Linked DNA regions of Nothobranchius furzeri. The protein of the gene in region 2 interacts with the protein of the main gene of each other region in a pairwise test. Links are inferred from orthologs where the notes say so. Each region holds a gene or a part of one and is shown on either strand. Other genes may lie near its edges.

Region 1 (4,261 bases), on a different chromosome or scaffold from region 2:
AGAGTAGAGTGAAAGGAGAGGTAGTTGAAGGGGGAGCATCAAAACGGAGGATATGTAAGAAAATAACAGATATCTCTGTTTGCACAAAAGCATACTACACAGCTTATTTAGCTCTTTTATACAGAGAAACAACATCTACCTCTTTATAAATAGTGCAAGATTCTATAGTTTCCACAGTGCTATACTTTTATATTTATAATTTTTTGCTGACTTGCTTTTAGTTTGTTTTTATTTATTTTATGGTGATTGAATCCTGTGCTTGTAATTTTGTTCAGAAATGCATCTGCACCGATCTGAGCCTGAAAAGGTCAGGCCTCCTTCTTCACATCGAGTGCAGACTCGAGTCCACGCGGCTTTCGCGTGGACAGCCATCAACATCGGCTACGGATTGAGAGCAGAACGTCTCTGGAACGTTGCTCACGAGTTCACGCGATAACAACAACGCTTGTAGAAACAAGTTAGTAATCAAAAGCCAGACCCGTCTTCTCAAACCTTCATAATCTGTGAACCAATATCCCTGTCATCAATAAGAGAAGAAGAAGCCGGAAGAATGATACGGCACAGGTTTCATTTTGGAAAAAAAACCAATGCACCTTTCTGAAACACGCCTCACTTCCTGTCTGTCTCATGTCATTTCTTCAACTTCATGACGATTTGCATGCGGTGTCCAGAAAAAAACAGAAACTGCATGGAAAGATTCTGCAGCTCTGCATCCGGCCCCGTACCCCAGCCAGAGTGAACGCTATGATTGGACTCAACGACTTTTGGTCTTCTGGGAAGAAAGACAAATTCCGATCCGCATCCGCTCCACACCTAGTGGAAGCCTCAAAGTGGATCGGACAGCTGGATGTTTTGATCACGGCTTCACCACACAATTTATTGTGATAAACTTAATAAAACATATAAAAGGTTGTATTGTTAAGGTGACACCTCATTCTGATTATTATTATCGTTACTATAGTTTACTCTAATCAGATTTGTATTTTTTACAAGAAATGTAAGAAAAATATTGATTCACTGAAATATTGCAATATTTCATGTTATGATACTGAATCTATACTTAAAAGCAGCATGTTTCTTGCATGTTTTAGATCATGAGCACTGCTGTTTGGTATGATTTAGTGATTAACCAATCCTGTAGAAACTAAGGAAGGCTGGGGAGACATTTCAGCTGTTAGATTAGGTGTTAAAAAGACAAACGCACAGCGAGGAGATATGTTTTACTTTCGGTTCTACAAACAGACACAAGGGGGTGCTAAAATCAAGCCAAAACTGCCAAGTTTGCCTTTAAAAGCAGTGTATAAATATTTTATTGATAATCTACATGCAAACATTCACTATATTTCTTTTGTGCGGTGCAATTCAAACTTTGACTGCTAGGTGGCAGCAGTTTATTTATTTATTTATTTTACAAAACTCACAATAACACAGGATGAGTTTTTCTATGAACTTCAGTCTTAATAATTGCAAAGATTGTCTGGCTTTTAGTATCACAATATATTGCATCATCTCCACCATATAGTGATGTATACCATAACACCAGATTCTTGCCAATACACACACCTACAATGAACATAAATTCCACCATTCTTGGCCAGTATTTAGCATAACCCTTCTAATTGGTGACCAACCTAAGTCTGTGAACACACTATTGTTAAGAAATTCAACAGAATGTACCCTTGTTCATGAACTCACCATCACAACCAGATTCCCCGGTCAATACGGTTACTAACATCCAGGTCTTCCAGAATGGTTAAAGTGACAATGTGCAGTTTTTATCATTAATCTTTGTAAATATCCATCAAAATTTGGCTGAAAATCATTTAAATGATGCCCGGTTGTTGAAAAATATTGGCAGCATCATAACATATAACCATTAAAAAAATGGGGTCTAAAATACATGGGAGCGGGTCCAAGTCTCTGGGGGATGCCATATTAGATGCAATATGTCCTTCTGTGGGAGCCCGTGAGGGCAATACACATTTGCAACAAACGGTTATAAAACTTTCGCCATTCCTAAAGTTGTTTTACACATTTACCTCTTCACTCGTTTCCAGTGATGAAAGGTAGTCTGATGTGCTTGTCATTTTGCTGGCAGTTAAACGATCTGACAAAGTACTCATTTGAAAATTGCACTCCAAGGGATTTTTGACCCTAATGGCCTTCCGTTTATATGGTCTTACTCGAACACAAAAATAGTGCTTGCTTGCAATGATTTAGGTATGTACTGCCCACTATCGCCAGGGAAAATACACACCCCAAAAAACTATTTCATAACTTCAAGATCTTTGAAATATCCTCATTAGCTCGCCAGAGCGATACCATTATCGGAAAAAGGAACTGGCCCAAAAATCGGAATTGGTGCAGCTCACATGTGAATGGATGATGATGCTACTTTGTTGTTACTTTTCAGTACTTCATGTGGAGTTTCAGCACAACCATAAGAGTTTATCTTCTATTAGTCAGACATGAAACAGCTTGTATAGTCGACATAATCCAATAATGCAAGATGCATGCAGTTATTTTTAACATAAGCAATTTAGCAGACTAAAAACATTGTCCTCGTTTTCACGTGCAGTTACCTTTGGTCCACCACTCCCCCTGACTCCAAAACATCTGTAGCTTGTATTCAGCAATCTTGTCCACATCGTTTTAAACAAAATAAGAACTTTTATTCATTCACCTACAGCTCAGTTAAGCTCAACTCTGTCCCTCTTCTACTCACAGGAGCTGTATTACAGAACGCGTAAATAATTCCTTCATTCTCCTGGACAATTTTGCGCGACTGCATAGGAAATATGATAATTTGTAGGAAACAAATAACACTGATTGACTGAGCAGGTCGCGTGCATTGAAAATCGTTTCGAAGGTCACGTGACTCAGAAATGTTTCCGCATCCGGCGCAGTTGCGCAATATGCGCAAGACGGCGTTTGCTTTGGAACTGTTGTAAATTTAAAATGTTGCTGCAGTATTATGATACACAATTGTAATAACATGCCGTAGCACGGAGACTTGGACATTTAAACATGTGTTTTAATGACAAAACACACACACACACACAATGAATGTGAATGGTTCACGGTAAATAGAGCTGTAAACTATCATTTATTCGTGTTCGCGTATCTAAATTCACATTTTAAAGTTATTTTTAGTCAGAATGTAATTTTTACAACAAGTTTTTTATCAAAATGATGATTTCATGGACTGAACGTCAATCTTATAAAACAAAAAAACTGTATTCAAGCTATATTTGTTGCAAACACGAGAAGCTGCAGCTTCCGTACAGTCCGTGAATGCAGCATTGTTGTTGTCCTCCATATCTGTTTGAGTAGCTCATTCAAGCAGCTCAAAGTCTCACTTCATAACATTTTCACCAGTGCAAGTACGCTTTTAACTAAATATTCACATTAATTGTTTCCTATTCCGTGCGGTAGTTTTTAAAAATAATTCAAAAGGCTCGCATTTGCTTCTTTTTCGACGTAAAAGCTAACAGCTAGCTTGTTCTGTTGTAGTTAAAGAGGAGAGGAGGCTGTCTCTCTGACAGCATTCAGGTGAAGTTATTTTTAACAACCACATTTAAAACCCTGGTTGGAGCTTATCACAGACATGGCCACTCGAATAGAGTGTATATTTTTTAGTGAGTTTCATCCTACTCTGGGCCCAAAGATAACCTACCAGGTAAGTAAACATGCTTGTTATAGTAGAAATCAAAGTTAATCTTTGCTTTCTTCCTGCGTCTGAGTACTAATCTTCTATTTGATTGTTATTGGTCTGACCCATATTGTGAGTTTCTTGTGTTATTTATTATATCGTGCTAAACAATCTACTTTATATGACTTTGTTCTTTCCCCTTACTTATATTTTGACAGGTTCCAGAGGAATACATTTCAAGAGAGTTATTTGATACTGTTCAAGTCTACATTATCACCAAACCAGAACTACAAAACAAATTAATTACAGTGTATGTAATCCATGCTTGTTAAGTTGATATTTTTTAAAGTCAAACTTCTGACACAATTTTTTTATTTTTTATAGGACTGCGATGGATAAAAAGCTGATTGGCTGCCCGGTGTGCATCGAGCATAAAAAGTATAGTCGAAATGCCCTTCTGTTTAACCTCGGTTTTGTTTGTGATGCTCAGACCAACACGTGCGCTCTTGAACCAATCGTCAAGAAGCTGTCTGGGTACCTCACAACTCTGGAGGTAATGTGCAATGCGTTCTGGGATTGCTTTTTCTTTCTTTTCCAGTGAGACATCTA
Region 2 (3,500 bases):
TGGCACACCTGTCCTAGCTAACGCTAAGGTGTTTAACATGGTACACCTGTCCTAGCTAATGCTAAGGTGTTTAACATGGTACACCTGTCCTGGCTAATGCTAAGGTGTTAAAACATGGTACACCTGACCTAGCTAATGCTAAGGTGTTAAAACATGGTACACCTGTCCTAGCTAATGCTAAGGTGTTAAAACATGGTACACCTGTCCTAGCTAATGCTAAGGTGTTTAACATGGTACACCTGTCCTAGCTAATGCTAAGGTGTTTAACATGGTACACCTGTCCTTGCTAATGCTAAGGTGTTTAACATGGCACACCTGTCCTAGCTAATGCTAAGGTGTTAAAACATGGTACACCTGTCCTAGCTAATGCTAAGCTGTTTAACATGGTACACCTGTCCTTGCTAATGCTAAGGTGTTTAACATGGTACACCTGTCCTAGCTAATGCTAAGGTGTTTAACATGGTACACCTGTCCTAGCTAATGCTAAGGTGTTTAACATGGTACACCTGTCCTAGCTAATGCTAAGGTGTTGAACATGGTACACCTGTCTGAGCTAATGCGAAAGGTGTTAGTAATGATGTGGCGCTGAAGTGATGGTGTTTTCCAACCACCTACTTCCTGTTTCTATGAAGCGAGGGTAGGCGTCATACGTGATGAGAGGAATAGGAAGCTCTCTGAAGTACAACTTCAGGGCGCCGGTGATGATGTTGATGTCTTCGTAAATGCTGGAGGAGATATCTGCCTTTTCTCCATCTGCAGTGGAATTCAGTTCAGTTCAGCCAAAACAATCAACCACACTGATAATGATGGACATCAGGGGGCAACACTCACCTCTGTCAAAGGTTAACTTGACATCTTCTATCAGCTCACTGAAGCCTGAGATTCTGTACAGACCCTCTGACTGAAGACCTGCCAGAAGAAGTGGTTTGTTACTGAAACGCCTCACAGATGCTGTTCTGTTTGGGGGCGTGGCCTGTAGCTTACTGAAACGCCTCCCGGGTGTTGTTCTTTATGGGGGTGTGGCCTGTAGCTTACTGAAACGCCTCCCGGGTGTTGTTCTTTATGGGGGCGTGGCCTGTAGCTTACTGAAACGACTCCCGGGTGTTGTTCTTTATGGGGGCGTGGCCTGTAGCTTACTGAAACGCCTCCCAGGTGTTTTTCTTTATGGGGGTGTGGCCTGTAGCTTACTGAAATGCCTCCCAGGTGTTGTTCTTTATGGGGCGTGGCCTGTAGCTTACTGAAACGCCTCCCAGGTGTTGTTCTTTATGGGGGCGTGGCCTGTAGCTTACTGAAACGCCTCCCAGGAGTTGTTCTTTATGGGGGCGTGGCCTGTAGCTTACTGAAACGCCTCCCAGGTGTTGTTCTTTATGGGGGCGTGGCCTGTAGCTTACTGAAACGCCTCCCAGGAGTTGTTCTTTATGGGGGCGTGGCCTGTAGCTTGGAAAAACGAGTGCATTGTTCTTTAGTAGTGGTACTCTGTTCCACTGAGCAAAGATTAGCCAAATAAACCTGAAAGAACTCAATGAAATTTTGGAGAAACTGGTGAGAAAGCCCCACCCCTTTTTGGTAAATGGCCTGTATTTGTCTAGCACCTTCTTAGGGTTCTGCAGCCCCCCAAGGCGCTCCACAACACAATCATTCACCCGATGATTGTGTTGTGATGATTCACAATCCATCACCACCAGCGAATGCCCGCTGGTGTTGATGAGCTACGATGTAGCCACAGCTGCCCTGGGGTGTACTGTCGGAAGCAAGACTGCTGAGTACAGGCGCCACCTAACCCTAACCACCGCCAGCAGGTAAGGCGGGTTAAGTGTCTTGCCCAAGGACACAACAGCAGCATTCTCTGGCAGGTGGGATCAAACCTACAACCTTCTGATTACTGCATAAGCCGCTCTACCTCCTGAGCTCCTGCAGCAGATTCATGCAGGGTTTAGGGTTATTCTATCAAAAATACTTTTACTGAGGAACAAAAGGAGTATGAGAGCAGAAGCGGCGGTGAAACAGCCACAACAGGTTAAAGGTTAGCCACTTCAAGAGTTGCTGCTGATTGTTCAGACGAACATGACTCAGTGTCTGGATGTGGCTGCAGCTGATCGGATCCCCATGGGGGCATCTCACCTCTGGCTTCGATCTCCTGGATGCACATGTCGACCACCATGGGCCTCTTGGTGTTGTGGGCTTTAACCAGAGTGGTCAGGTCGCAGCTGTACACCTTCTTCACGTGCCGAAGGTCCGGCTGGCAGTCGTTGGGAACCACTTTGGAGCACTGCTTGTGAACATTCAGCCCACAATCTGACAGGGAAACAAAAGAGCAAGGTTGACCAGGTGAAACGCTGACATCAACACGCCGTCTGTCAGAGAGACCCTTTCAGCGAGGAGATGAGTCAGGAGAGGAGGAGCCACTAGCTTACTGGGTTCTTCCTGGCGGAGACCGACCCATCCTCTACAGTTACAGCAACACCAAACAGGTGTGCTGCTACTGGATGAAGCAGATAGCAGGTCTCTATGAACGTACGAGTGTTGGCTGCTCAGACACAAAGGAAAACACCACAAGTGTAGACCACCCCATGCTCACTCTGGCTTTAGCTCTTCACCACCACACATTTCTCTCCCTTCTCGTGTTTTTGTTGACGATCAGCAAACTGCTAGCTAGCATTAGCTATTCTTTAGGAGAGTAGATCATCATTTGAATCAGAGTGATTCTGACTCCAGTTTAGGGGTGGGCAATATAAACGATATAAGGTAGAAACGATATAAAATTGGGTAACGATAGAGTTTTTGGCTATATCGCAATACCACGATATCGCGATAACACATGGCATCACTAAGATGTGCACCCTGCTTACATTGGGACAACAGAATGGCAGTGACTGCAAGCATGGAGTGGGCGGAGGAGGAAGCCTATTTGCCTCAAGTGGCATATATTTGCCACATGAGGATATTTACAAGCATGTCATTTTGACATATATAAACAAAGGAAAAAATATATCACAATATATATCGTTACCACACATGCTTCAGATTATATCGCAATATACAGTAGATTTGAGGCCATATCGCCTGGCGCTACTCCAGTTCCTCGTTTTGAGTCCAACTCCGAGTCCAGACTCGGTCTGGAGGAAGTTAACCACAGGTCGTGCGTGTCTGACCTTCTCCAGGATTTTGAAGACGCCTCTTGGATGAGACGTAAAACGTCTGAGACACCAGAAAAGTCCTCTGTAACTGACCGTGGTGCCGCCGCACCTTCAGACAAGGTTATTTAATAAATGTTAAAATGACGTAAAGCATATGAGATGCATATATAACCTGTATTTGGCCACTTATACTAACCATAATCAGAGTTTGAACTGCATTTCAATGTCATGAACCATTAAATTTGCTTTATTTTGAAAAACCAACACCACCAGTTCCTGTCTGGCTGCAGGGCGCTGCTCTGAGGAGTGAAGGAAAACTAGAGACCACAGTCCAAAGTAGGGGGAGGGGAAAAGGCTGAGGAA

What was found.
Region 1: the proteins of N-chimaerin (region 2) and hemk1 interact in binary tests that used the Homo sapiens proteins (3 or more experiments, as listed by UniProt). The two-hybrid records come from large-scale screens. The link is inferred for Nothobranchius furzeri from reciprocal best matches to the Homo sapiens genes CHN1 and HEMK1.

Annotation. Positions count from the first base shown.
Region 1 is NC_091743.1:64,712,729-64,716,989, forward strand, and holds the start of hemk1 (MTRF1L release factor glutamine methyltransferase), read right to left. Parts: upstream 2,801-4,261; 5' UTR 2,649-2,800; coding exon 2,583-2,648; intron 1-2,582. Other genes in the region: GATOR1 complex protein NPRL2, read left to right, coding at 3,608-3,679, 3,871-3,962, 4,037-4,205. UniProt on the Homo sapiens protein: N5-glutamine methyltransferase responsible for the methylation of the glutamine residue in the universally conserved GGQ motif of the mitochondrial translation release factors MTRF1, MTRF1L, MRPL58/ICT1 and MTRFR.
Region 2 is NC_091754.1:46,223,504-46,227,003, reverse strand, and holds part of N-chimaerin, read right to left. Parts: intron 2,296-3,500; coding exon 2,122-2,295; intron 910-2,121; coding exon 832-909; intron 754-831; coding exon 616-753; intron 1-615. UniProt on the Homo sapiens protein: GTPase-activating protein for p21-rac and a phorbol ester receptor. Involved in the assembly of neuronal locomotor circuits as a direct effector of EPHA4 in axon guidance.